Linked DNA regions of Elephas maximus indicus. The protein of the gene in region 1 purifies or fractionates together with the protein of each later gene. This does not show direct contact. Links are inferred from orthologs where the notes say so. Each region holds a gene or a part of one and is shown on either strand. Other genes may lie near its edges.

The links.
Region 2: the proteins of FBXL17 (region 1) and KLHL9 purify together in Homo sapiens (co-immunoprecipitation; 3 studies listed by BioGRID and IntAct, with this or other methods). This does not show direct contact. The link is inferred for Elephas maximus indicus from reciprocal best matches to the Homo sapiens genes FBXL17 and KLHL9.
Region 3: the proteins of FBXL17 (region 1) and ZBTB10 purify together in Homo sapiens (affinity purification with western blotting; 3 studies listed by BioGRID and IntAct, with this or other methods). This does not show direct contact. The link is inferred for Elephas maximus indicus from reciprocal best matches to the Homo sapiens genes FBXL17 and ZBTB10.
Region 4: the proteins of FBXL17 (region 1) and ZBTB18 purify together in Homo sapiens (co-immunoprecipitation; 3 studies listed by BioGRID and IntAct, with this or other methods). This does not show direct contact. The link is inferred for Elephas maximus indicus from reciprocal best matches to the Homo sapiens genes FBXL17 and ZBTB18.

The regions. Positions count from the first base shown.
Region 1 is NC_064820.1:117,507,029-117,514,545, reverse strand, and holds the start of FBXL17 (F-box/LRR-repeat protein 17), read left to right. Parts: upstream 1-4,502; 5' UTR 4,503-4,596; coding exon 4,597-5,595; intron 5,596-7,517. UniProt on the Homo sapiens protein: Substrate-recognition component of the SCF(FBXL17) E3 ubiquitin ligase complex, a key component of a quality control pathway required to ensure functional dimerization of BTB domain-containing proteins (dimerization quality control, DQC).
Region 2 is NC_064827.1:30,999,980-31,007,849, forward strand, and holds the start of KLHL9 (kelch-like protein 9), read right to left. Parts: upstream 3,004-7,870; 5' UTR 2,795-3,003; coding exon 941-2,794; 3' UTR 1-940.
Region 3 is NC_064833.1:61,170,361-61,177,819, forward strand, and holds the start of ZBTB10 (zinc finger and BTB domain-containing protein 10), read right to left. Parts: upstream 3,008-7,459; 5' UTR 2,929-3,007; coding exon 1,960-2,928; intron 1-1,959. UniProt on the Homo sapiens protein: May be involved in transcriptional regulation.
Region 4 is NC_064842.1:20,159,494-20,166,921, reverse strand, and holds the start of ZBTB18 (zinc finger and BTB domain-containing protein 18), read left to right. Parts: upstream 1-4,417; 5' UTR 4,418-6,186; coding exon 6,187-6,199; intron 6,200-6,240; exon of another isoform or gene 6,241-7,428.

The DNA.
Region 1 (7,517 bases):
AGGTAATTCTATGATTGGGTATCTTAATAATTCTTATCTAGAAGGGAGAAAGAATGGGACAGGTTAGGACTATCATTGGTAAAGAAATAGCTGGCAGTCATATTAGCTAGAATGTTTGGTCATTTTTGTGGTTTGTTTTTGATTTGCTGTCTTCAAACATTATTTCAAAGGGGTCTTGGTTTTGTCTCGTCCTTTATGGTCACAGAGTAGCCTTGTTTGATGTTGGTATTCTGTGAGATTGTCTATATTCAATAGAACACCTAGACTTTGCTGGAAATGCCAGGCAAGCTCCTGGCAACACTAGGCATAGCTGATAGAGATGGGCCTGCTTCTGGCTGTGCAGGCTACTTTTTTTCACCAACAAAGCTATCAACTACAACAATTATCTCCATAATTACAATTTACAACTCTTTGGCTTTCTGAAAATTTAGAGTATTTATCAGGATTTTTAGGGTAATAAATTGTAAAACTGGATTACAGCTCTAGAGACAACTGCAGTTGTTTAATCATTTATAAAACATGCAAGACCCTCTAATATATGCTGTGGTAAAGAGAGTATAGACGGGGCCTCAAGGAACTTAGTTTCTCTTGGGAGAACTGGGAGGGTGGCGATGGTGGGAACAGTTGTGAGAAGTTCTTAACTATGAGAACAAGTATTATAAGAGAGGCACAGTGTTCAATAGTTAGACCAAGGATGATCTTCTCATCGCCGAATGGCTCTGGAATTGGGAGTAAGACTAGTGCTGTAACTTTTGGGAACCGCTTGAAGTCTTAGTCACTAGAGCTAGATTACATCTGTAGTTCTGACAGATTTGCATGGTGCAGCCTGTCTGTGTAGGAACAGTATAGGGAGCTTGTTAAAATTAGGTACTATAGATTCCAGGGCGCCAACTCCAGAGTGTCTGATTCTGTGAGTCTGAGGGGACCCTCGATCTGAATTTCAAAAGCTTCTTGAGTGATTCATTCAAACAGACTGGAAACCAATGATTTTGATTTTCTCTAATATTTTGTGACTTTGAAGGGGAGCAGATTTTAAGGAGGTATAACGGAAGGACATAGTATTTTAGTTACATTTTTGGGAATAAAATAAGTATTAAACAGTAAGAGATGGGACACTTCAGGAAAATCCCCAAGTAGTGACTCAGTAACCGCTTGGGCTCACTAGGTAAGAATTTTCCTTCAGGGAACAGATGAGATTAATACATTGTATCCACCGTTGTGAGCCAATGTCCCTACTATTTTCTGCATATCTACACAAAGGAAGAATAAGGTATAAATCACCTGCCTAAAGTGCCTCTTCCTCACCCTTTTAAAAATGAATTCTGTGTACTCCTCTTTTCTGATATGTCTCCATCAAAAAAAAGTTATAAAGGACTATACCATAGGCAGAGGCTGTAATTAAATTTTATCATGGACTCACATGATTTTCTCCAACATTTTATTATAAAAAATTTCAAACAGAAGTTGAAAATATTGTACAGTCAACATCTGTATACCTACCTCCTATATTCTGCAAGTAACATTTTACTGTATTTGCTTTATCGTGTATCTAGCTAGCCATCAATCCATCTTATGTTTTTAAAATGTATTTCAAAGTAAATTAGACATCACTACACTTCATGTGCCCTGAATACTTCAGCATGTATACCTTAACTAGATTTCAACATCTTAGGTAAGATTTACATACAGAGAAGTGCATAAAACTTAGAGTACCATTTAATGAGTTTTGACAAATGTATACACCTATGTAACCCAATAATCACCACCCAGTGCCTCTTCCAAGTTAATGCCTCTTCCCAGAGGCACACCCCAAAGCCAACCACTCTTCTGATTTTTTTCATCATAGATTAGTTTTGCCTGCTCTAGTCTTTCATATAAATGGAATCTCACTCTTTTGTAAGGATTCTTTCATTCAACATAAGGTTTTTGAGGTTCATCCATGTTGATTTGTGAATCAGTATGTTTAGTGGTATTCCACTGAATGAATATAATACAGTTCATGTATCCATTCTATTACTGATGGACATCTGGGCTGTTTACAGTTTCTGGTGATCACGAATAAATCTCCTATGAACATTTTTGTACAAGTCTTTTCCTGATATATGCTTTTATTTCTCTTGCGTAAATAGCTAGAAGTGGAACTGCTGGGTCATAAAAGTAGGTATATGTTTAACTTATACGAAACTGATAGATCCATAATTTTGACACAGGGATAGTAATGAAAAGGCTTAAAACACCATCTGCCTTTGCTCAAAATACAGCCTGGTAGAGATGGCAAAGGATCTGTCAGTGGAGCTCTAGGGCTCTGGAAGATAACCCTATAGGTATAGTGATGAAAGCTGTGTGGACAACATCCATGAGTGAATGCAGTTTGGGCAGTGCATTTGATAGTGAATAACGTACATGAAACCCATTAAACAATCTTTGCCCTTAGACCTCCCCCCAATGAAACAAAAAAAACCCCAAAAGCAGAAAACCAAACCAGATGCTGTCGAGTCGACTCCACCTAATATATTGGAAGTAGACTGACAGGCCTTTCTTCTGAGACACCTGATCTGAACTACTAACCTTTTGATTGGTAGCTGAGCACTTAACTTTTGCGCCACCTAGGTTTCTTGCAAACAGTTGCTAGGCTGCTACCTGAAAGGCTGGAGATTTGAGTCCACCCGGAGGCCTCAGAAGAAAAGCCTGCAATCTAACTCCATAAAAATCAGCCACTGAAAACCCTGTGAAGTGCAGTTCTACTGACACACCCAGGGTCACCATGAGTCATAATTCACTCCACGGCAAGTGGTGATCAAGCTCAGAAAGAGGTGAAATCTCTGTGTGACAGACGTAAAATAAAAGTCATTTTTGACAAAGAGACCAGTATTAGCAAAGATTTCAAAGAGTAAAGGCTGGGTGAGGCTGGCCACTGTGGTGGGAAAATTACACAGGGCAGGGACCAACATTGGTCCCCAAGTTGGGATGCTTCTTGAATTCTGCAATACTGCTTCCTCAGTGAGCTCTCTCAAGTTATCTCAAGTTACCCTTAGTAGCTTTTCAAAACACTAGCCACTTCTCCCCTCAAAGGTGACCAGGGTCCACGCAAAAGAAAAAAGAAACCGTCTGAAAGGAGCTCTTTCAACTTCCTGACTGAAACGTCCATCTGTAATATATATTCATCCTTTCCTTATTCCCTCCAATCGCAATGAAAAGAGTGTCTCTCCTAAGGTACTGAGACCCTATCTTCTCAGTGGCCTTGCTGTATCATCTCTTTTCATTCCCTTCTCTTCCTCCACATTGGCTCATTCCTATCAGTATTTGAACCTTCTCAAATTTATCGCATGTGAAAACTAATCTTCCCTCACCATCAGGTACCATTCTGGTTACTGCCCTCTTTGTTCTCATTATATCCAGAATTTCTAACAAGTTGTTTGTCCACAACCTCGTTTTCACCTTGGTCACCGAGGGCCGCCTCGAACAGTTTGTGTAGCGCCTGACAATCATTTTTAAGTATATGATGGATGGGATTCTGAGGGTGCAGACAATAAAGTCATCTATAGCTTGTAGTTCGGGTGGATGACTCACTGGGTTGAGAAAGTGTTTCTCTCTCAGTTGTTTATGGACAATTTGATACACATTTGCAATAAAGTCAGCATTACGCCACAAGCATGAAAACAAGTAGGGTAACACTGTGGTTGCCTGGTTTCCCAGAACCCATCAGCCCCTCACAAGAGGTCAAGGGCCCACATCACCTAAGGGCCACGCGTTTCCCATCCCACCGGAGGAGCAGCCTGGGCCCAGAATGGTCCTTCCGGTGGCAGCCGTTTTACCGCTCCGGGGGCCTCGGTCTCCCACTCCGGGGGGAGCCGAGCGGCTCCCGGCCAATGGCAGCTCTTGAACTTACACCTCGAGACGTCAGCGCGGCTGTGCAAACGGATGTCACACAGCTGGCTCGGAAGCGTCTCCACCCGCCCCAAAAGAAGGGCGGGGGCGAAGCGGCCTCCACGAGACCTGGGGCGTCGGGAGGGAGGAGCGCGCGCCGCACCCCGCGAGCGCCGCACCCACGCCAACCACTTGTTTCCTGCAGTCCCCTGCCGGGCCGCGGTCCCGGGTGAGCAGCCGAGCGCCGGCGCCTTAGCTCGGAGCGCGCTGCTGCAGCTGGCTCCGCCCCCTCCCGGAGCGGGCCGCGCGACCCCGCGGCGCCGAGCTGTGTCGCGGGCGCGCGCGCCGCCAGCGGAGCCGCAGTTAAAATGGTCTGAACCCGACCCGGCGCTTCCCCGGCTGCCGCGGTGACTGACTGAGCCACCGGGCCGAGCCAGGACTGGTAGCCTAGCCGGCAGGCTCTCTCGCTCCCTCGCGTCCCCTAAGCTCGCTCCCATCGTTCTCCCGGCTTCCCTGGGCAAAGCATGTAGCCCCCGTCGGGCGCCGGGGCGGCCCCCAGCTGACGCCCACCCCCCACCGTCGCGTGTGTGTCCGTGCGTGCGTGCAGGGCAGGCGACCCCACCGCGGGCCCGAGGCCGAGCCAGCGAGCGGCCTGCCCCGCTGCCGGGAGCCCGCCTCTTCGGGCCTCCCTCTTGCCCCGTCCCCGTCCCCGTCCTCGGGGCCTTCTATATGGGCCACCTTCTCTCGAAAGAACCGCGTAACCGCCCGAGCCAGAAGAGGCCTCGCTGTTGCAGCTGGTGCCGCCGCCGCCGCCCTCTCCTCAGACTGCCCCGCCGGCCCCCGGCCAAGGCGCCCCCTCAGGCGGCGGCGCCCCGGAGCCGGGACTGCTTCTTCCGCGGGCCCTGCATGCTCTGCTTCATCGTGCACAGCCCCGGCGCGCCCGCCCCCGCCGGCCCAGAGGAGGAGCCGTCGCTTTCGCCGCCGCCGCGGGACGGGGCCTACGCCGCCACCGCCTCCTCGCAGCACCTGGCGCAGCGCTACGCGGCCCTGGCCGCCGAGGATTGCGCCGCTGCCGCCCGCCACTTCCTACTGTCCTCGGCCGCCGCCGCCGCCGCTGCCGCTGCTTCGGCCTCGTCGCCCGCCTCCTGCTGCAAAGAGCTGGGGCTGGCCGCGGCCGCCGCCTGGGAGCAGCAGGGCCGGAGCCTCTTCCTGGCCAGCGTGGGGCCCGTGCGCTTCCTGGGGCCGCCCGTCGCCGTGCAACTCTTCCGGGGGCCGTCGCCGTCGCCGCCGCCACCGCCACCGCCGGCCGAGGCCCCCACGCCCCCCGAGATGGTGTGCAAGCGGAAGGGGGCCGGGGTGCCCGCCTGCACCCCCTGCAAGCAGCCCCGCTGCGGCGGCGGGGGCTGCGGCGGCGGCGGCGGGGGAGGGCCTGCGGGGGGAGGTGCCTCGCCGCCGAGGCCCCCAGACGCCGGCTGCTGCCAGGGCCCGGAGCAGCCCCCACAGACGCTCTGTCCTGGGCCCTCCTCCCCCACTTCTGAAGGTGTCACTACAGAGGCGGTCGGGGGCGCTGTCCGAGCGGGAGGCGGCGCTCCCTTGCCAGCCCAGAAGCAGCACGAATGTGGCGACGCGGACTGTCAGGAGCCCCGCGAAGTCCCCTGCGACTGTTACAAGGAGCCACCCCCGGAAACCCCAGACATCAATCAGCTGCCGCCGTCCATCCTGCTCAAGGTGGGTCTGTGCTAGAGGCGCAGGGATGTTCGCTTTCCCCCAACTCCGGCCCTAGTCTGCGAGTTTTCCTCTCTCCTCCTCCTCAGCGCGGGGAGGGGGCTTCACTGATTGCTGGGGACGTCCGAACCAGAGGTTGGGAAGCCAATGGGGAGGATGCTTATGCTTTTTTTTAAGTAGGCAAAGTTGGAATCTGCTGAACGTCTTTTAATATCTCTGATCTGTTACTCATAATTCAGGGTTCACTCATTAGATTCCCAGCCCAGTGGTTTAGCAACTATTTGTAGGTTTCTATGAAATATTTTATTAACTGAACAATTTATAGTTATTGCGTAAAAACTTTGTTAGTATTTGAAAACTTTCAAACGATACTTTCAGGTTTCTTAGCTGATGTTATTAACGGTTAATTTTTATTGAGCATTCACTATGATCAGGCACTGTGCCAGAGATTTGTATACATAATATCACATTTAATTCTCCACATAACTCTGTGAGATAAATACTGTTAACATCCTTATTTTATATAAAAAGAAACTGATATTTGAGTGCTGTAGACCTGGGCTTACAGTAGTGAGTCAGGCAGAAGTGGTTCTTTCTCCTATGGAGGTTATAGTCTAGTGGGGCTTGAAGCCATTGAATGACTTGTCCGAGGTTACACACAAAGGGGTAGATTTAGGTCTTCAAATAGGGAATTTAGGCCTGCCTGTCTTAGGAAAAAAGTTCTTGTTCTTTTTGTTATATTATGTTCCTTTCCTACTTTTTAACCCGTAAACAAAAGCATAGAAATGATCAGAAGGTAAGAACAGGTATGTATTTTGTTGGGGGTGGGGAGGTGGGTGAAGCAGGTGTGTGTTTTGTGTAAGCTTTATGTCACTTTCAAATACTAAGTGAACTTTGCAATTTTGTCAATTGGCAATGCTAGTGACAAACTTTGATTTATGTGATCAAGTTTGTATTAAGTTACTAATTTCTTTGTTGTTCTTATTTTCTCTTTTCTCTCCCCTTCTCCTTTCTTGGGACTTAATAAATATAAATTATGTTTTTTTCAGTTTGATTAGCCATAAATAACCTTGATAAGTATTGGATTACTTTTCTTCTTACTGAAGGTCACAAATATACTTTTTTAAATTAGTCTTTGTGTTCAGATCTGTTTTATTGTGATATTAATGTTCTTGTGAATAATACAGCTAAAGCGGGGGAAAGCTTAACTTTTCCTTCTGTCAAAATGTTACGACTTAACTCTTATGGAGCTCTGGTTGTTGGAGGAGCGAGTGCCTGTTGTGTTTGTGCAGGGGGTGGATTTTTTTTTAATTATAGGGAAGTTTATTTCTCTCACATGTAAAAGAAGTCCAGAAATAGGTAAATCTGTGGTTGGTACATTACCCTATGGTCTTCTGTCTTGCTGTTTTGCCGTCTTTTTCTGCTTTTTTTTTACTTTTGGTGAAAATAAAAAAAACAGCAAAACCTACACCACTTCAACAATTTCTGCAGGCACAAGTCAGTGACATTGGTTACATTCTTCAAGTTGTGCCACTTTTGTCAACAGCCTTTTCCGAACTCTTTCACTGTCGTTAACAAAAACTGCCTCCAAAGCTTCTCATCTGTCCTTTCGAGTTGCTGTTGTCCATTTGATGACATATAGATAATTCTTTAAAAAGAGTATAATGCTTAATGTAGATATTTTTTTCTAATTAGGCTAAACCTGATATTTGGTTCAAAGATGACTTCAGGGAATAGATTGGTTAAAGGTTTAAAGATTTCCTCAGGATAATCGTTTCAGGGGGTCATTTGGCCTCAATGGCTGAATTCCATGGATTTTCCATGAATCAGTCATAAAATTGACATGAATCAATCACAAAAGGTCCAATTTTGTATGCTCTCACTTACATGAAATCACAAAAGTAAGCAAATGTCTATTAGTTATC
Region 2 (7,870 bases), on another chromosome or scaffold:
TTAACTTTGTTCAGCATTATTTCTTCACTTTTTTCCTAGGTTTTACTGAACAAAAATAGTGAAACCTACATTGAGTAAAAACAATTCTTTGAAATTTGAACTTTGCTAAATAACCTGAAGAAAAGCAACTCTACATAAAACAATGTACAAGTTACTTCAACAGCAAAGCAGAAAAGTAATGTAAATTTCATGTGACACAACAATTTAGTCAAATGACAAATTTGGTTGTCAATTTAATGTTACAGCCCTTATCTATCTAAATTCAGTATCCTCTGGTACAGAATTCCCATATGAATAGAAATAGCTGATCTGTGGGGAAATTTTTTTAATGTAAAAACAATTTCACACATAGTTGAAGTGCAAATGGATTTTAAAATTATGTGTATTAACTCTCTAAAAAGAGATATCAAACTCTGACTTAGGGCTTTACTGATTTTTCAAGTTAATATTTTGAATTTATTATTTCTCATGTTTTCAAGAAATGTCTCATAGTGTGAATCCATACAATCTGGTAAGTTCAGTTCACAGATAGGTTAAAAGCTCTACGAAAAGAGGAGGTCAGCTAACAATACTTGTTTTAGGTTACAACAGGCTGCCTCCCTTCGATGTCCTGCAGGTAAAGATGAAAACTTGCAACTCTGTAACATGAGTGTATTTACTACAATCACCTCCAATTTGACTTACACAACACCACAAGAAGACATCTAATTTAAACATTTTCTACACATTTTTTTTTTTTTCATTTGTTAAAACAGCTGGCTATGTGGAACACATTTTCAGAATGCATTTATTAGTCGTTTGGTAAACATACTAAGGCAAAAAAACACAAATGACATCGATTACCTTTTATCTAATAACTGTACCAATCACTGTAAAAAGAAATACAACTGAAGGAAAAGAGATCATCCATGATGCACTGCAAATGTATTATACCTTAGTCTTAGGAATGATCTGAAGGTGCTGAAAGAGGAGATTCTCTAGAAGGTGATCCAGGGTTTTCTTCAGGTGGAAAAACTGTGAGGGTACAAGCTCGAATGCCACCAAGTGACTCTGGAAGGTCAAAAACTTTGTGCCACTCATCTTTTTCTGGGTCATATTTCTGGACAATTTCTACCATACAACGGTTATTCCAAGAGTACCCACCAACAACATAAATTTTATTTTCAAAGACAGCAACTCCAACATCACTCTGACCTCTTAACATAGCAGCAATTGGTGTCCACTGGTCAAGGGTTGGTGAATAGTATTCACAGCTTAGAACGTCATCATAATCACTTGTTCCCCTGAAGTGATTGCCACCAATGACATAGAGTTTGTCTCCAACTGTACACATGCAATGCAGACCTCTGACTGTAGTCATTGGAGCTTTCTGTGTCCACTTGTCTGTATCTGGGTCAAAGCACATGAGCTCATTTTGGAAAGTGTCATGGGTAATTCCGCCTGAAATATACATTAAACCTCCATACACTGTTCCAGCATGGCCATAGTGGGGTTCACTCATCTTTGCAACATAGCTCCACTCATTCATTCTTGGGTTGTAACATTCTACTGTGGCCAGTTCACCAGCTGCACTTCGCCCACCAACCGCATACAAATATCCTTTGAGGGCGCTCAAGTGGAAGAATGTGCGCTTTTCATTTAATGATGCAACTTGCTTCCATTTATTATACCGAGGATCAAATCTAAAAACAGTATCAACAGCGGTTTTTCCTTTCGTATCATAATTACTTTGACCACCAACCACATAAAGAAAGTTTCCAATGACAGCAATGCCATGCTGGTAACGAGGAGCATCCATCGGGGCTAAAGATTTCCATTCTTGTGCCCTTTCATCATACATTCTTAATTCTTTACTGACAACCAACTGTTGCCTCAAAACTCCTCCTAATGTAACCAAGTGAGTCGAGTCAGATCGAATGGCAGTTCTGTCTGACTGCATCACTGGCTGCATATATGGCATCATCTGGTAATTGCTAGCTTCCAAAAGCAAATTCACACAGGTATTGTCCGTTCTCATGAAATCTACAGTTTGCACGTAATTGATGAGGTCCTGCGGTGTCATCAGTGGAAATCGAATGTTCTTCATTAATTTTGCAGCATAATCCATCCGAGGGTCTTCCAACCTTAGCCAGCGACAGGCAGCCTTGAAGAGTTCAAGTTCAGTACAGTGCTTAAGACTATTACTGGAAAGCACAAAGGCAAGCCGCTCAAAAGGGAGTTTCAGGAACTCCCCAGTACTCAACAATGCAGGAAAATTCTTCAGGATGAAATTATTAACATATTTGTCCACTTCTATAAGATTGTAGGTGTTAGCAATCCGTCCAACCTCAACACAGTTATCTAAAGAGACCCCTGATATAAGAAATACTTTACAGAAGTCCAAAACAGGTAAAATCTGCAAAAAGCTGGCAGCTTCAAGTGTGTCTTGAAGATTGTCCATATTAAGAGACAGTTTCGCAGTATAAATAAAATCAATGATTTTCTTCAGACCAACCTTGTTCACTCCATGAAGCTTAATGCACATTAAATCTTGTTCTTTCATTCCACCCGTAAACATGGCTTTGAAATAATCACTAGCAGACGCCATCATAGCTCTGTGAACAGGGAAGATTTCATCTCCATCACCTGGTACCAGGGTCACATCGCAAAGCAATCCTTCTACTCTAAGCTGATCAAAACCTTGCAATACCACCGAGCTGTGAGTATTGCTGGTAAAAAAGCGCGTGGTTCCTGCCTTGCAAGGCTGCAAATGGGCAGAGACGCCCATTTCGCCGTTACCAAGAGACACTTTCATGTGAAAACCTTCCTCTTGCACAGACAGAAGAATGCTGAAGAAAGAGGTTAATAAACAATGTTTTCGAGGAAACGAGGGCTTCCAAAGAGCAATACAGCTCGCTTTCCTTAACAAGGGCGAGCAGTAACTGTGGCACCCCTCAGGGCACACCTGACAGTCATCCACTGAAAACTGCTCCGTAGGACCACAAACGGCTGCGGACCTCAAATCTGATTATTATGCAGATGAGTCATCACCTGAAGGCAGTTAAATAACCCGGTTCACCTCGGCCGGCCTGCGCTGCCGCTCCTTCAGGCGCCGCCACGTACTGCAGCTCCGCCGCGAAGCCGGGCACTTCGGCAAGCGGCCCGCTGCGCCCTCCGCTGTCACCAGCGCGTCGCCGCGGTCACGGGCCTGTCTTCGAGCAGGAGCCTGGAACACGGGCCTGGGCCTGGGCCTGGGCCTGGGCCGGGAACACGGGCCTAACCCGAGACGCCGAGCCACTCCTTCCGGAAAAGCCGAGTCCCAAGATGCCCTGGGTTAGGAGCGGCCGCGGCAGCTACTGCGGCTGCGCACTCGCCTGACCTCATCGGTGGGCGGGCGTGCAGTGGAGGGGAGAGGAAGTGCACGGGATGCTGGAGGGAGGGGCGGGGGACGGGGAAATGAGGTTGCGAGGGTGGGGGCGAGCAGACCTTCCTAGGGTCACAGTGGAAGTAGCCCTGAATGGGCCGCAAGGAGTGCACGTATATTTTGCTGCATTTAGTATAACCATTTTTGCGGTGTCTGAGCTCTCCAAAATGCATATTTTTCCTATGAGATTTACACTTCCTGCCTTTGCCTTTTGAATTTCCTTGAACCTGCCAGTGTATAAATTGAGTGGTAACCTGGCACCGGAGGGGATGAGAAGAAGATACTTAAAATTTTTTGTCTATAAAAGAGTTTACCTGCAATTCTTTTCGCACACAATTTAACAGACACTTCAATTATCATTTTGGCTCATATTTTCAAATTTTATTTAAAACACACATCTCTCTGAAATCGTGATCATATTATATCCTGAATTTGTCCTGAATTTTTTGCTCACAGTGCAATTCCATCATAAATAATTTCTTCATGCTTTTTTTTTGTTCTCCATTCACAATTTACTAAAAGGTTACACGATTTTCCAAAAACTATGTAAAAAAAACTATGCATATTATTATTTCCTTCGCCCATTATTTGTTCTTGGATGTATACATTCTTGTGTCCATTGTTTTACAGAATTTGTGACAAATTTATAGAATCTGGACACAGAACTTCCCCGCGTCTGGATAAAAACCAAAAAAAAAACAAAAATAAAAACAAACAAACCCAGTGCTGTCCAGTCGATTCCGACTCATAGTGGCCCTATAGAACAGAGTAGAACTACCCCATAGAGTTTCCAAGGAGCGCCTGGTAGATTCGAACTGCCAGCCCTTTGGTTAAGCAGACATTGCACTTAACCACTACACCACCAGGGTTTCCACGTGTCTGGATAAGGGTACAGTAATTAAATTCTAGGATTATGGTCTACCGAAATAATACTAAACATGGAAAATTATGCAAAAACATGTCTATCATATAACTTAATTTTTAATACTGAGGAATTAAAAATAATCGAAATAGTCAACAACATGGTAATGATTAAGTACGTTATTGTACATTCATATAATGTGCTATTATGTTGTTGTTAGGTGCCCTCAAGTCGGTTCCGACTCATAGCGACCCTTTGCACAACAGAATGAAACACTGCCATGTCCCGCGCCATCCTTACAATCGTTGTTATGCTTGAGCTCATTGTTGCAGCCACTGTGTCAATCCACCTTGTTGAGGGTCTTCTCCTTTCCTGCTGACCCTGTACTCTGCCAAGTATGATGTCCTTCTCCAGTGACTGATCCCTCCTGACAACATGTCCAAAGTATGGAAGACGCGGTCTCGCCATCCTCGCCTCTAAGGAGCATTCTGGCTGCACTTCTTCCAAGACAGATTTGTTCTTTCTTTTGGCAGTCCATGGCATATTCAATATTCTTTGCCAACACCACAATTCAGAGGCGTCAACTTTTCTTAGGTCTTCCTTATTCATTGTCCATCTTTCACATGCATATGATGTGATTGAAAATACCATGGCTTGGGTCAGGCGCACCTTAGTCTTCAGGGTGACATCTTTGCCCTTCAACACTTTGAAGAGGTCCTTTGCAGCAGATTTGCCCAATGCAACGCGTCTTTTGATTTCTTGACTGCTGCTTCCATGGCCGTTGATTGTGGATCCAAGTAAAATGAAATCCTTGACAACTTCAATCTTTTCTCCGTTTATCATGATGTTGCTCATTGGTCCAGTTGTGAGGATTTTTATTTTCTTTATGTTGAGGTGTAATCCATACTGAAGGCTGTGTGGCCTTTGATCTTCATTAGTAAGTGCTTCAAGTCCTCTTCACTTTCAGCAAGCAAGGTCATGTCATCTGCTATTATATAGCCATAAAAATACTGTTTGCAACTGTTTTTAACACTGTAAGTAGATATACGATAAATGTATATGTACAAAATTGCATTTATGATCTAAACTATATGTAGCTGGTTTTCAAAATTAGATTTGAAAAGAAAAGGAAAAAAGCCTTAATTTTATTATCATTAAACCAATTCTTTTCCAGATCCCACACCCCTGAATTATTGGTGGTAGTATTAACTACAACTGAATGTCCAATTTTATTTTAAGCTTAGTCTGATCTCATGCTTCAAATGATCTGTTTAAATGATCAGTCTCTGAGTCTTTTCCTTCTGATTTTTTTCTTAAATGGTGTCTGAAAGTATGGGAATGGAGGCTTAATGTTCTCCTGACCTTTGAGAACCCCACCTCCAGCTTGGTGTGGTCCTTGTTTGTGTGCTGGTGGCACCAGGTCTTCAGAGAGATCTCCCTTGTTCTTACTGAATATACATATATTAGATGAATATATACTGAATATATATAGCAATCTGCAGCTGGCCAACCTAGGTTCATTCTTTTAGTTTAGTCAGACCTCTCTGTGAAAATCACCTATCTTCTCTATTTGTTGATTCAGTTTTCCTTCAGCTTTGGGTGTCCCAGCCTGTAGACCAGGTGATCCACACCAGTCATGGCTACAAGTCACATCATTCTGCCACTTTAGAGGCTTATTGCCTCTCAATGCAGTGTTCACCACAAAGGCAGAGAGGACATGTCAGGAGAGTTGTAAAGTTCAGAGTCTGTCTTTGGCTGACCATTCTGTGATGCCATGATTATGTGATGACCCTCCAGATTGGTGTGGGGTAACCCATGAGATGGTACCCAATGACCATTCTTAAAGTGAGTAGCGGGACAAGAACCCATTGTCTCTGGTGCTCACCTCAACCTACCTGGTATACTTTTCTCTTTTCAGAAGATAACAGGAAACAAAGTCTGATTATTTTCCCTCCTTCCCTCTTTCTTTGTTCTTACAATTTTCTGGGAAGGAAGAAAGAGAGAACCCCTTTCTGCTAAATACTCTACATCATACTCTACTGGGTTCTATTGTGGTGGCTTGCCTATTGCTGTGATGCTGGAATCTATGCCACCAGTATTTCAAATACCAGAAGGGTCATGCACAGTGGACAGCCTTCAGCAGAGCTTCCAGATGAAGACAGGCTAGGAAAAGGACCTGGCAGTCTACTTCTCAAAAAACTTGCCATTGAAAACCTTATGAATAACAGTGAAACACTGTCTGATATAGTGCCGGAAGATGACCCACAATGACATGGATGGAGTAAGCCTTCTGGACCTTCATTTGCGATGCGGCACAACTCAAAATGAGAAAAAAACAGCTGCACGTATCCACTAATAATCGGATTGTGGAATGTACGAAGTCCAGGAAAATTAGAAGTTGTCAAAAATGAATTGGAATGCATAAAGATTGATATCCTAGGCATTAGTGAGCTGAAATGGACTGGAATTGGCCATTTTGAATTGAACAATCATATGGTCTACTATGCCAGGAATGACAAATTGAAGAGGAATGGCATCACATTCATCGTCAAAAAAAAAAAAAAAAAAAAATCATTTCAAGATCTATCCTGAAGTACAGCAATGTCAGTGATAGGATAATATCCGTACAGCTACAAGGAAGACCAGTTAGTAGGAATATTATTCAAATTTACACACCACCACTAATGGCAAAGATGAAGAAATGGAAGATTTTTACCAACTTTTGCAGTCTGAATTGATCAAACACGCAATCAAGATGCACTGATAATTACTGGTGATTGGAATGTAAAAGTTAGAAACAAAGAAGAAGGATCAGTAGTTGGAAAATAAGGCCTTGGTAAAAGATGCAACACTGGAGAACATCCAACAGGATTTTGCAAGACCAATGACTTCTTCATTTCAAACATCATTGTTCAACAACATAAACGGCAGTTATACACCTGGACCTCACCAGATGGAATACACAGGACTCAAATAGACTTCATCTGCTGAAAGAGAATGAAGAAGCTCAATATCATCAGTCAGAACAAGGCCAGGGGCCAACTTTAGAACAGAACATCAATTGTTCATAGGCAAGTTCAGGTTGAAGCTGAAGAAAAATAGAGCACATCCATGACAGCCAAAATACAACCTTGAGTATATCTCACTTGAATTAGTGACCATCTCAAGAATAGAACTGATGCATTGAACACTAATGACTGAAAATCAGACGAGTTGTGGAATAGCATCAAGGTCATCATACATGAAGAAAGCAAAAGGTCATTAAAAAGATGGAAAAGAAAGGCCAAATTATATGTCAGAAAAGACTCTGAAACTTGCTTTTGAATACAGAGTAGCTAAAGTGAACAGAAGAAATGATGAAGTAAAAGAGGTGAACAGAATATTTCAAAGGGCAGCTCAAGAAGACAAAGTAAAGTGTTATAATGAAATGTGCAAAGACCTGGAGTTAGAAAGCCAAAAGGGAAGAGCACACTTGGCATTTCTCAAGCTGAAGGAACTGAAGAAAATTCAAGCTTCAAGTTGCAATATTGGAGGAGTCTATGGACAAAACATATGTAACGATGTAAAAGCATCAAAAGAAGATGGAAGGAACACAGAGTCACTGT
Region 3 (7,459 bases), on another chromosome or scaffold:
CCACTGCTAGAAAGTATACCATTAGGTTATCCAACTAATCCCCCTTCCTCTGATTTCAGGTTCACCAAGCTCTGGTGGTGCAGTGGTAAAGCGCTCGGCTGCCAACCCAAAGGTCAGCAGTTCAAACCAGCCATGACTCCTTGGGAGAAAGACGTAGCAGTCTGCTTTGGAAACCCTATAAGGCAATCCTACCCTGTCCTACTGGGTCACTATGAGTCTGAATCCCGATGGCAATGGGTTTAAGCAGCTACCTAACTAAAATTTGCGTTCCCATTCAGATTTGCCTACAGGAAAGACTACATCAATAAGAGGAGTAACTGGTCCACTGTAGGTTAAGAAAATTCATTCTGTCTTTTAAAAATTTTTCTAAATAACCAACCTACCATTATTTGGAAAGCAAGTATTAATTTCATAAGCCCCCCCCACTCAACCATCTTACTAAATAATTTTAAAAGTAAGTTATTAAAGACTCAGATTCCTCTTCTGTAAAATGGGAATAAAACTAAGTACAGAGTAAGGTAAATGTGTGCTTGGCACACGAAAGACAAGGAAATGTTAGTTTTATTTCACTCCACCGCCCAAGTTCATAAAGCTAATAACTGCAGAAAGCTGAGACCTGAATCCAGATTTACTCCAAAACCCATTCTTTCTCCATTACAGCATTCCTTGTAGGTTCTAGTCGGACAATTCACTTAACCTTTCTGGGCCTTATATCTTAACATGACTTCTCTTCCAGGATTCAAGCAACTAAAATTTGTGCAAAAACGACTGGACTGTCCACTGGGAAAAGCACAGCCCTGTGCTACAAAGTTAAAGCCTTAACTTCTGAGATACTCCTATGCTTAAGGGCCACTGGATGGTGCCTAATTAACTTCAGTAAAAGTTCGCTGAATGGCAAGATCACTCCAATAAAAGAAAGACTATGAGAGCTGACTTTCTAAAATCAACGACTGGCTACCAATACAAAGAATGAATTACATTCACCAACTCAAGTTATCTAAAAAGACTGAAAGATCTATTTGGCTTGAAAAGGGTTATCAAAATGGTAAGACTACTATCTTTAGGCTGGAAAATGTCAAAACAAGGACTAAGAACAGCTTGTTTTATAACTAAGGACTTATGATTTCTGGTAGTTTGGTAAATTCTCTTACCAGTTCAAATCATATAGTTGATGCAAATAACTTCACATTAATGCTAAGGATTAATCCAATGCTAAGTTTTTTTAAAGTATTTAATGTAAACTGCATTTTTAAGCAACTTGTTGAAAATTAGAATAGCTCAACCCAAGAAATCTAGATAGACGCAAACAAGGTAAACAAAAACTACAATAGTTAACCAAAAGCAAGCCTTTTTCCCTCTGCAAGAAGTTCAATGGGAATGAATTTAGTAAAATTATTCACGAGAAAGGAGTGTTATCCAAAATAGCTTCCTCTACATCTATACACCTCTCATATTTCACAATATCCTGACCTGATATAAAGAACTTTCTGGTTAGAAGTTTTCCGGAAAGGGGTGCACCAAAGGTTTAGGAAAGTGTTTAATTCATTCTTCAAAGAGTTGCCAAATTTGACTTTCACCAGCACACAATCTTAAAGGACTATGAACATAAGGCGCCTTCTCTAAAACCACGGCTAAGAAAGTCTTTCAGCGCCAAGTCAACCTTTTACGTTAAAAACTTCAGTCTCACTTTCTCAAACTTTCGATTCAATCTCATGACGCCAAAAAAAAAAAAAAAAAATCTGTGTCACAAAAAAATAAATGGAGAAACACACTCTGCGCCCCCACCATCACCACACACACAAACTTTGAAAACTTGTTCCCAGGCTTTCCAAACCCCCACGCATAGGCTCCCCGCATAGCTGTTAACTGGAACCATGCTTTCACACAGGAAAACGGGGTTTTTAGCTGATAAGCCTTTCCCGAAGCAATCTGAGAAAGTAAAGGCAGGATATACTCTACCTGGGCGTTGGCTTTGTGCTCGGTAGAGACGTGGTGCCTCAGGAGAAGGGTTTTCTTGTAGTTGCGGGTCCCTCGCGAAAGCTCATCATGCCCCAGTTGGGGAAGGTCCCCGCTTCCCCCGTCCTCAGGGGTCTTTTGGCACCAGCCGCAAGACATAAGGCCAGTATCCTTGGAATACCGCAGCCAAGGAAAATCTTTGAGCCAGGAGCTCTGGAACGAGCAGTGTAGCTTTTGCATTAGAGACTTGGGTCGCGCAAGCGGGAAGTGCTGGACAGTCTCTCCCTCGCCAGCTCCCACGCCGCTGCCCTCGACTTCGTCCCCGCCATCGCCGCCAGACCGCCTGCTGCTGCCGCAGCTGCCGCCTTCCGCCCCGCTGCCGTCGCCCAGGCTCGCCCCCTCCTCCTCGTCCTCCGTGCTGTCGCTCAGGGACGCGCCGTCCTGCATCAACTCCTTCCCCTCCAACGCGTCCAGCTCCAGGTCCACAGTCGCCGGCCCTCGCCCATTGAAATGTCTCAGGCGCCACGCCGAGGTCTCGGGGCGGCAGCGGCTACTGCCATTGTTGCCGAGACCCCCGCCGCCGCCGCCGCCTCGGAAGGCCAGAGTCCGACGGTTCCTTTCCGCTAGCAGGGGCCCCCCCGCGCCACCGCCGCCCAGCGAGGTGGGGCCGCCCGCGTCTTGCGGGAGCAACAACTCCTTGGTTTCCTCGGCGGCGGCGGCGGCCGCCCCAGCGGAGGCCTCCAGGTCCTGGGGCTCCAGGCCCTCCAATTCCACTTCCTCGTCGGCCCCCCGCCCATTGAGCTGCTGAGGCGCTGGCGGCGCTGGCGGCTGGGGCTGTCGCGGCTGGGGCTGGTGAGGCCAAGTCGAGGCCTCCCCGCCAGCGTTATTGTTCGTGGAGCCGCCGCCGCTGGCGGTGACCAACCCGCCTCCTCGGAACGCCAGCGTCCTGCGGTTCATTTCACTGAACGACATGGCGCGCGCCGCCGCCGCCTCCCGGTGCCCCGGCTCGCGCACGGCCTCGGGCCGCGTCCCGCGCGCTCCCCCTCCGCTTCGCCCCCGCCCCCGGCGTTCCGGTCTCGCGGGGCTCGGCCTCGCCCTCCCGCCCGGCCGGTTCTCGCTCGCTCCCGGCTACCTTTCGCGTCCGCCGCCGCCCGCCGGGCCGCCGCCTCCGGCCGCTCTCCTCGTCCTCCACCCCCGCCCCGCTGCGCGCCCGGCAGCGTCCCGCGCGGAGAAGGGGGCGGGCGGCGGAGAGGTGAGGAGCGAGCCGGGGGCGCGTGGGGCCTTCGAAGTTGAGAGGCGGAGTGCGGAGAGACCCTCCGCTGCCTCTTCTTTAAAGCCGCGCGCACACACAGACCCTCCAAAACAGATATCCTTCCTCCGGCGCACCGAGGAGTCCCAAGGCTGCCGCCGGCTGCCGAGGCGCCGAGGGCGAGGAGCACATTAAACTGCTGGGCTCCGCCACATAACGAACCGACAATAAAGCCGGCGGAGCGTTTCCGTCCGACCAGGCCCTGGCGGAGGTCGAATGGCAAATGAACAACGGACCGTGCGCCCACAATGCACCGGGGTAGCAGTAACCGCTGGAGGGGGAAAGGGTGGGGGCCGGGCTGGGGGAGGGGGGCTGGGCTTGGGGCTGGGCTGGGGTAGGGTGGGGGCGCCAGGGGACCGGGAAAGGGGCCGGGCCGCGCCTCCGGCCTGGGGGCGGGGGTGCGGCTGCGGGGAAGGAAGTCGGCCGAGGGCGGGGGACAAAAGGCCGGGCAGCAGGCTGGGGGTCTCGGGGAGGGGGCGGACGTGTGCAGCCGGGGCCGGGCTACGCGGAGGACAAACAGCTGGCGAGTGTCAGGGTCTGGCTGCCTCCCCGCTGCCCACACGCACCTACCCGCGCCCGGGACGCACATTTTCCTTCTCTCGCTACGAGTTCACCTGGGACTTTGGAAATAACTGTGCGGTGGGAGCTGCGCTCCAGCCTTGTCATTTGGTCGGGGGTGGGTGGCGGTGCCCAAGGAAGTGAACTTAATTTTGTTCCTTCACAAAGACTGGACCAGGCGGTGCCTTTCACGCGAGGAGGTTACAACCGTGGATACCTCCTCCTCTGATGCATTGTGTATGCGAGCAGCAACTCAGGCCCAAGGCAATAATCATTTCACAGAAAATGCACCGCCCCGAGTGTCTTATTGCTGTGATGAAATGGAAATTTAAATAAAAGGTCGAACACGTGCGTTCACTGGGAAGTATTGACATGAGTGTTACATCACCAGCAGCCAATCAGATAACTCCAGTCGTGTTTATACTTCTACAACCACCTTGTGAGTATTACAGTATGTCATAACGTTATAAATATTAGGCAGGGTTTTCCCCAGGAGCGGGGAGGAGTCTGCTTATACGGATGTGGTGCGACTCCGAAGATTATATGCTTAAAATAATTAATTTTTAATTTTTTTAACTGTTTACATTATATGTGGAATTTAGAGCAATTACAAGGACTGATTGAGCTGGAAATGAAGCTTCCATAATTAAAATCTTGGTAGAGTTAAAAAAAAAAAACTTTGAAAAAGCTTCAACTCAGAGCCCCACGCTCATTTTAAAATTCCTTAATACATTACATTTAGTGAACGCTTAAATATTTAGAGTCCGTTTAGGATTTTACAACGTAAGGTAAATTTTAAACTATTGTTTTCAAACTCATTTCAGGGGAAAAATGTTCTCAAACTATGGAAGGGCTTTTTACTCTTTTAGAAAATATGTTTATTAGAAGTTGAATAAAAAAACATAAAATGTGTCCAAAATACATAGTTGACTGGGAAAAAATACTTAAATGGTAGGATACGTTTTTTATACTAATAGTAATACATATATTGGGATGTGCGTAGAAAAAAATACACACAAACTATAGTTAATAGCTAGTGGGAGGAGTTAAGCTAGGAACTTTAACTTTCTACATAACAAATATAGTAATATATATAGTAGTTACGTATTTAGAATATATAATTATATTTTATGTGAAGTTATGTGTGTTTTATAAAGACCATGTATTACAATGTTTAGGCTCTGACGGCGTAGTCATTAAGTGCTATGGCCGCCAACAAAAAGGCCAGCAGTTCGAATCCACCAGGCACTCCTTGGAAACTCAATGGGGCAGTTCTGTTCTGTCCTATAGGGTCGCTATGAGTCAGAATTGACTCGACGGCAGTTTTATGCTTCTTGTTCTTTTTAGAACTTAAAATATATATTGATTTATTTTTCTATTTTTAGAATAACAATATTGCATACTGTCACTTAGTCTTTAAACATATAATGTATGTATGCTTTATTTCTCAAAAATTTTAAAAGATTTTCCAAGATATTATGAAATATTATTTGTATGAATATTTTTAAATGGACTACGTATACGAGTGCAGAGAGTGATAAATACCAGTGATTGTAAATTTATTCAAAGCAACTCTGAATTAATTGTAGTTTTAGTATGTGTGTAAATGAGCAGTGTTGTATATCAAACAAAAAAAAATTAGCTCTACCTTATAGATTAAACGTAATTTTAATGTAAAGAATGGCACTACTAACCTGCCATGAAAAGATTTTGCTTTGAGTTATTTTTCTAGTGATGATCATATGTACCCCTTACCCTGGCCATCCATATTCTTACCAGGCCACCAGCGATCAACAGCTTGAAATTCTGTTATGAAGTCCTTGGGTTAGTATATTTTTGGGGATGTTGTCTTGCTTTATTTTGTTTGTATGGAAGTTTAAGACGGTGGAATCTGTGACCTTGACTTAATTTGTATCCTGTAGAAATGAGAAGATTCTACTCACTTGACTGTATATAATACTATGTGCTTCCATGTAGTATTTGGAAGAGCGTAATAATAACATTGTGCCTTCTCCTTAAATGAGTTATTGTTTTTCTTAATTCAAGGCACTTTGCAAATAAATACATTATTATATTTTAACTACCACCATCCTACCACCCCATCTCCTGTAAAAAGAGGGAAAAGTTACTGAAGTTAATTACTTATCAAAGATCGTGGGAAGTGAAAATGGACTTCAGAATTTTTATTTCAACATTAAAATCCGTTTCCTTCCTGAAACTATTAACTCGAATCTTCTTTTCATCTTTTATGCATAGTACATAAAAAGCAAAAAAAAACAACTTGTTGCTGTCAAGTCGATTCCAACTCATAGCGACCCTATAGGACATAATAAGCACTATGTGAGTTTATGCTAGTATTATTATTTTTGATTTCTGGTAGTGACAGATTAACCAGAAATGGTATTAATTATGTCAGGACTGCATTTGTCAGACATATATCATTGCCTTGTATTTGTTAGATCCACGTTGTCTTCTGTCTGGAATTACGTTTAAACTTGGACTAATTAGAAATGAATGACACTAGATTCAAACAGTACAAACAAAACGGCCTGAATCCTAGGACCACTGAACTTGTAACAGCCAAACTGTTCGTATTTATATTTCTGCATTTATATCTATTTCTGTATTCAGTTGTCTTCCTCTAAACCCTGAAGGAAGATCGAATCAGAAACAAAGATCAAGGGAATAGTAATCACAAATGTCTCAGAATACCCTTTGAGTAACAGAAGGGGATCTCCTACTGTGTAAGTGGCGTTCTTAGGAATTCCCCCACTCCTTTCAGTCTCCTACTACCCAGCAGGGATCTGTTCTCCCCTCTAGCCCCTATATTTACTCTTGGGGGTTCTACCATATTTAAGGGAATTCCCCCTTATGCCTACCAGGGGAACCCCTCAAGAATGGGGCATCCCCAGCCAATTTGTCCCCTAATTTCACTTTAGGCTGCTGTAGGTCATCTTGATACTCGTTTACCATAACTCTGGGATGGGGCTGACTCAATTGATCTTTGATGTTGGAACTTGACTGTCGTTAACTATCTTAGTAGAGGAATACTTTGCCTTTTCAGGTTCTAGGGGCAATAGCCTATCATTCTGTCTGTGGAACTAACATATATATTATCCATCAGAACGAAGTACCTTGAGGCTAGGAACCATATATTATTTATACTGACTACCCCCACCACTTCACCCAGCCTGTCACATAGTAGGCAATTAGTAAAATGTTGAACCCTGAACAGTTTAGTATATTTCTCCTTACAATCTATTTTGGTAAGCAACCTGGCAACCTTTTCGTCTGTTTCCTTTTTTTTAATTTTTATTTTTTAGTTAAGTAAAATATAATATTTTTAATTATTAAACTAATGTTTCTATTTATCCTAATAATTTTTAAATGAACTAAATACATGAATGCATATCCAGACTTGTAAATACTATGGATTGTACAGATTTATTCAAAACAATGCTCACAATAAAAAGTAATAATATATTATGCTGTCATTAGCTGCCAAAAGTTGGCCCCTTACTCATGGTGACCGCAGACACAATGGGATCAGACCTTTGTGATCGATAGGTTTTCATTAGTTGACTTTTCAGAAGTAGATCACCAGGCCTTTTTTCCTAGTCTGTCTTAGTCTGGAAG
Region 4 (7,428 bases), on another chromosome or scaffold:
TTTTTAGAGAAAAACTTTCCAATTATATATGAAGTTAATGGTGTCATTAAAAGCTAGCATTCAAAAATTACTTTTATAGGTAACTTTTTCAATGTGACCTATTTCACAAAATAATAAAAAAAAAAAAATTGCTGTCTTTCAAGGATTTGACCTGCGGTTCACATTTAAAAAGTCAGACATTCATTTTACAGAATTGCACATCACATTAAATTTGATGTGGTCCGTCAACATTTTATAGTGTTAAATTGTTATTGGTCAAAGTGTATGTGCTATTAAAATAAAACTTGTTCTCTGGCCAGAAATCTAATCATGAATGTAGCTTCACTTGGATCATTTTTAATTTCAGGACTCCCAGAAAAGCATGGATTAACTGGACACTCTACAAGACTGTGATTCCTCCAGAGGGAAAGTTTAATTGTTTATTTTTTCCAGTAGCTAGAGACTGTAGTTTTTGTAATTTTTTTCTTTTTTCACTGGGGGGGGGGGCAGGGAAGACAGTAGATTACTAACCCAAAACAAAACCCTTAGCTCTTAAAAAAAATCTGCCATGAAAGTATCATGGGACTATGTTAAGCCTATTATACAGAGGTAAACAGACGCTCCTTTAAGGAGCTTACTCAAGGGAGGAGTTTAGAGTTGGACTTATTACCTTTCACAGCTCCGGTGCGTGCTGAAGAAAAATAGTAATCATTCTGTATTATGACGTCTCTGATATCAGTCTTGTTTTTTTGGACATTTTGTATGCTGATGTCTTTCCAAAGAGGATTAAAGGTATCATTTGCACAATACACTTAACAAAAAACAGTTCAAAGTCAGAAAGTGAAAATTATTTTAAAGACATAAAAGAAAAAAAATACAATTGCACCAGGGATTGGGGATAAAATGTAGCAACTGAACATTAAATTTAACTCCGAGATTCATATCCTATTACATTGTCATTTAGTGTCTCTGTTGTTTGGCATTTTAATATATTTATGCCACTTCTTTCCCAACTAAATTTAAGTTCCAGGAAGAAGAAAACTTGTCTTGCACTTTTTTGATGTCTCCCGTATCCCTAGCAGAGCACCTTCCTTGCATACAATCAATGCCCAGAAACATTTTTATTGATTTTTGACAGTGCATGAATGTTCCAGGCATTTTCATAAATTCATAAATCTTTCATATAATTGAGGGGGGCATGCTTGCTTCTCTAAATAACCATTTAGTCTATATTTCCTGGACGAGCTAGTCAGTTCTCAAAATGGAATCTAGTAATAACTGTTATGAGAAAAAAAATGGTCATAACTTTTGATCCATCAGTTTCTCCCTCCCTCTTTGCTCCCCCCAATCTCTGATGGCTGTTAATTCTACTTCTAGATGAATCTCTAAAACCTTGTTTTAAGGCTGTGATGTTGCTCTATATGGTTTACAGCTGAATTTGTAAGCTTATGTACATTCTGAATGCTTTAATTTTCTCATGAAATGTACTGTTTAATACCTGAGCCCTATCAAATACTTTGTCCATTCATCCAGAGATCTCTTATCTTCCTGATTTTTAATTTTTAGTGAGAAACAGCTTCGAGAATGCAAACTTTTTTTTTCTCTTTATTCCTGAGCTGTTAGCAAAACATGATACACGATACTCCCTTTTCCATCTCTCTCTCTCTCTCTCTTTTTTTTTTTTTTACAGTGTATATCATCTATCCAGAGTTCCCTAACTTTAAAGAGGTCGGGCTGGAGTTGGGCCTAGAATTCATCAAAGCACAGATACAGCAATAGATTGCAAGGAGTAAAACACTCTAGTTATCACAAGATGACCTTCATATCAGTGTGCAGTCATCAGGGTACAAAGAAGGGTGAGTGAACAGTAGACAGCATCATTATTGTTTCTAACAGGATATTCCAATGGTACTTTAGTTCCAGCAATTTTGTGTGCTCCTGTTTTCACTTTATTAGCAATTCAACATGTCTGATTTGCTCCAACAGTACTTTCCGACCTGTAACAAAGAGAAAACCACCACATTTTACTCTGTTGAAAGGTCTCCTGGCAAGTTGTTTAGCAACGGGCTTCTCAGTTCTCGGTCACTTAGCAAAGAATAAATACATTTCATTTGACGATGAACATTATTACACTGTCTCCCTTACTACGCTATTTCCTATTTTCTTGAAACTTTTTTTTTCACTTGTCATTCAACTTTTTACTTGTAATCTTTGCCTCCTCGAATTTTTAATTTCTTGAGGGTAAAAATTTCTACCCTTCTTTGTGGCCGCGGCAGTGATTAACACGATTCGTGGAGAACAGGTACTGAGCAAAAGTTTACTGGAGGGGAGAGAAAAGTGACACAAGTCCTCCCTCGTAGTTTAAAGTTGTGGCTGGATAAGTACCAATTAAGCAATCAGGCTAGGGCATCTACAAGTACCCATTTTACTGTAAACTCTCTACAATTTGGTCACTTGGGAATGCCCTTACTTTTAACACTGTAAGTACATATAGGGCATGAGAGTTCTGCGAGGAATTCAGGCGTTTTACTTTGCCCGAAACATGACGACAGAAGGAAGAAAACGCCCGGAAACTGTGCCTCTGGGCGGGTCGCGTCCTCAGCGCCCTGAGGTGCACCTGGAGACCGGACACCGCAGGACGCAGCGAGAACGTTCCGAGTCCTGCCTCGCCGCGCTCGGGCAGGCGAGGACCTGGGCGTCGTCACCAGCAGCAGGAAGAAGCGGAGGGAGCCACCTAACGCCGGACTCGAGTCATCTGTGTCCCCGTCTACCCTGCCTCCTGAGGATACCTGCGTAACTTAGAGCAGCCAAGACCCACTGCACTTGAAAGTGCATTTACGGTTGTCACGGGGCGCACCGAAACGCTTGCTCCGCACCCCCAGGGCGCGCGAGGCCTCCTAGCCTGGAAACAAGCCCCTCCCAGCGCAGCTGTCGCCGCCGCCTGCGGGCTCCTTTCACTTTCTCACGGCCAAGTCACCCAGAGGGGCGCCGCTGCCGCTGCCGCCGCCGCCGCGGCCGCTGCGCCTCAGGACTCCACCCCTCGCCACTTTGCTGCCGGCCCCGCCCGGCCCGGGCCCCGCCCACCCCAACAGTTTCTGCCTTTGATTGGCACATGCAAGCGGCAGCCCCGGCTCGCCTCTCCCATTGGCAGGGCCCGCTTGTCAGTCCGACGATTGCCCACCACCTCCTTCACCTTCCCGAAAAGCCGCCTTCCTATTGGAAGAGACTGCGGGATGGGGGCGGGCGGGGAGCGCCGGTCCAGCCGCTTTCGGTCAATCGCTGAAGCCCAACGCCGGGAGGGCGGGAGGCAGGCGGAGGAGAGGGGCGGACTGAGGGGGGAACATCTGGCCGGCGCCGCCGCGTGCGTGCGTGGTGCGTCCTCCCGCCCCCTCCCCTCCCCCCGCCCCCGCCCCCCCGCCGCAGCCCCCCCAGCCCGTGGCTCCGCGCTCGCTCCTCGCTCGCTCCCTCGCTGTGTCTGGCAGGCTGCGGCCGCCGCTGGGCTGCTGCCATGGGGAGCCGTTGAGAGTGGGGCCTCTTCGCTCCGCCGCGCTCCTCCGGCTGCCAGCGGGGGTGGGTGGGAGGGAGGGAGGGAGGGGCGGGGGGGAGCGGACGACGGAGCCGGGATTGGGGGGTGGGGGTCGGGCGGGAGGGGGGCAAGAGGAGGAGGAGGAAGCCCACCAAGTCCGGCGGCGGCGGCGGCGGCGGCGGCGGCCGGGAGGAGGCGGCGGAGGACGCGGCGGCGGCGGGGACGCGGTGACTTAGGGCCGCTCCGTGTGAGTCCCGGCTCCGGCCCCCGGCCCCTGACCCGGCGCCCCTTCGCCCCGGCCCTCTGGGGGCGGGGGCGCCAGCTGTGCCGCCCCGGCCGGCGGGCCAGTGCGGGCGGAGGGCGGGCCGGGCCGGGCGCCCCCACGAGTGGAGTTAGTTTGTGGGGTTGGAGCTGTTGGGGCGGCGGGGGGCGGTGCAGCTGCGGGAGGCCGGGCCGGGGCCGGGGCCGGGGCCGGGCCGCTGCAGCTGCGGGCCGGGCGGGTGCGGGCTGCCGGCTCCGCGCCGCGCTCCCCCCGGCCGGTGCAGCTGCGGCGCGGGGCGGGCTCCCGGCCGGTGCAGCTGCGGCGGCGCCTCTCGGGTGCGGAGGGCGGCCGGCGGGGGGAGGGGGCTTGGGAGCTGCCGCAGCTGCAGTGGCGCCCGGGACGGACGCGGCTCCGGGGACCGGTGCAGCTGCAGTGGCGCCCGGGGGGAGGGGGCTGGGGGAGGGGCCCCCGGGGCTGGTGCAGTTGCCGGGAGGCCCTGGGGGCTCGTGTGCGGTGGCGTCGGGGAAGCGGTAGCAACCAGCCTCCTCCGACTGGCTTCTTCTTAGGACTTTTCTTTTGTTGTTGCCGTGACCCGGGTCTGTTTCCTCGTTTGTTGTTGAAGGTGTTTGACTGCTGCACCGGCTCTATGCCCTACACCTCCTTCCCTGTGGTTTAATCTTCCTCTTTCCCCAGTGTGTTGTAGGCTCGGAGAACTACGTAGAGATTTGCATTTCTTCCCCTCCCCACTCCGCACCCCCACCCCGCCTCTTTGAAAAACAAAAACCCAACCTCACAAAACCTCTCTGGACCTCGGTAGCGAGACGTAGAGGGTTGATTTGTGGAGTGGGAGTCGCTGGCCCATTGCGGTGCTTGGGACTCATTAAACTGTCACTCACCCCCCACCCCACTGGGTAAATGGGGTGATTAATGCCTGATATATTGGAATGGGGCGAGGGCATTTGTGGAGAATAGGTTGTGTGGCTGAGAAGGAATTTATCTCCAAAAAGTGCCTCCTGAAATAGGCATTCAGAATTATGTCACTCACCGGGAAGTTAGAGAAAGTTAGGTTTGTGACTTTGGGGGGAACGAAAAGGACAGAGTTGTTGGTTTTAGTTACTCTGTAACTCTTTGCCACAGTTTTCTAATGAGAACAGAGTAATTACCACCGAGGCTGGGACACTTGCGCCTCAGGCCCCAGCTCCTTTTCTTCTCCTCACCCATCCAAAATTGTGGAGTTGTATTTGACATTCACAGATGTCGCTCCTCCGGGGTTGTGTTAGAATTTCATGACCCATTCGAAAAGGCCCACAAAGTCTAGCGAAAGTTTCCCAAACTTACCAGACCCGTTTTTTTTTTTTTTTTCCTTTTTCTTTCTCTGTCTCTTCTGAAAGGTTTTCTTGTGATCATGAACATTACAGAGTGACCCAAAAAAAGATTGTTATGGGACACAGATCAAGGAGGGGACAAGGTTCTGCTTTTTCTGAGCAGATCAGATCTGCAGGTGCGGCATTCATTTTAAGTGACCCTGGCAAGCTGTATCAGTTTATTAATTTGTCTCATTGGACCGAAGCACTTTCCAGGATTTCAGAAAGTACAGTTTCAGCTTGTTGATACTGAGAATTCAAATTTGCATTAACTGTGGCCCTGTGAGAAATTTTCCCTGAGAAAAGGTAGTTGTGGATAAGTAGTTAAGTAAGAGTGAAATAATAAAGTGAACTAGGTTGAAGTCATAATTCTCAGTAAGTCTTCCAACATTTCCGAGACATGTATCCCACTATCAGCAGGGGGAAAAAAAAAAAATGAAAGTGCCGTAATGATGTTGAAATGGGGCTGGAGATGTCAAGTGGGTTGGTTTAAAAATATTCCTAAGCTGCCTTTAGAGCTAAAGGTTGGCGTTGAATAGAAGTGAATTCTGAGTTTCCTGAATAGCACGGTGGTTTGAGTGTGCTTGTCAGTATATAAGGCAGTCCACCAACTTTAAGACAGAAGTGTTGCTATTCCATAAATACAGTAGAACTTCATATGCTGAGTTTTTCAATTTCCTCTGTTAGAAAGTTTGGAAAAAAAAGGGAGACTTTGAAGTATTCTGTTTATACTAACAGAAGAGAAAAGTTCTCCTAAGAAAAAGCTGGTGGCAGGAGTGTAGAGGAGTAGCATATGGCATTAAAAGGGGCACAGCTGGAGGTAGCATTTCCATCTGAACATGATGTCAGAGCAGCTGACAGCCTGCCATCCCTCAGCCTTTTATTCTAACACACAGACAGGGAGTTAGTGTGTGCGGATCTGTGGTGGAGAAGGTATCTCATTCCTCTCTAACATCATCTCCACTTTGCATCTGTCTCTCTTAGTCTGCTTTTTTCCCACCGATGTAACAGACCTGGAGCCAGCAAGACTCAGAGGGAAGGACTTAATCAGGTTTATGTGTCCTAAAGGTAGGAGTAGCAATAGATTAGACCGAGCATATTTCTGTTTTGGTGTTTTGTTTATTTAATTTAAAAAAAATCACATTCCTTTTCTAATCCAGTTTAGGAATAATATATGAAATTGAGTACTAAATGAACATCTTACTGGAGTTGAAAGGCTTGGGCTTGTTTAGTTTTAATTTTTATCCCTTTTACTTGAGTAAGTAACTTTAATACACAAATATTTCAACTTTTGAAATGTTAAGAAAGGCTTTTGAAATACTGCTTTTTGAGATCACTTTGGATTAAAATGCCTTTTTTTTTTCCCCCCACTGCTATTTAGATTACTTTTGCTTTTGGGGGGAGAAATAGTAAACTGTCTGGAATTAAGCATTCAAACTTGTATGAGAAGATTATTCTAGTTAAGGAGCTAGATTGTTGTGTAATTAATTCCACTGTGAAACTTTATTCTTCAAAACATTCAGCAGCTCTACTGAAACGTACAGCTGTAGTGCTTTTGAAACCGAGGGTGTTTTTTTTTTTTAAGGGAAAAAAAAAAAAACTTTTGTCCCCAGGAGAATAGTTTGACTGGTTTCCTCATTTCTCTTTCGAATATATATTTAAGAGATCTTTTATTTCAGCATAACAATAATTATTTGCAGGAGTTTTTGTGTTAGCGACTAATTTAGAACTTGTAGATTTGAGCTGCCTGAATTGGCCAGACAGCTGTAATCGCACTCTTCTATTCTTAATCTCTTTATCTGGGCAGCAGCTGCCATATGGCCACAGTCAGCTGGATCAGATGTTTATAAGCTTCCTTCTTCATCCCTCTCTGTCCTCTCAGCCTCCTAATTTGATCACGGCTACCTTGTGAGCTGCCCTACAATCTTTATTTTTAGCCCTCTCAAGGATTAGGATTGATGTTAGCTGTGGGGCACTTAAAGTGATTGTATTGTAAATCTTGGTTTATTCTAGCAGTGGCATCTTGCAGAATATATTTGGGGTTAGAATCAAAGTTTTCGTCTATCTTGGGTAAAGTGTTGAAGAGACAGGGAAGTCATTTCTGAATATTACATTAATATGTGTCTATTTCCAAAATGCACTTTCTGAGGTAGATGGTCTGGGGCTTTGCTTCTGGTCACTGGCAAGGGAAATAGGGATTTCTTTAAGTTTACCTAGTGCAGTTGAATTTTGACCCTTTGTACATCTTTGCCTTTCCCCCTTTCGAATTCACCTCCCTGGCCAGAAAACCAGGGCAA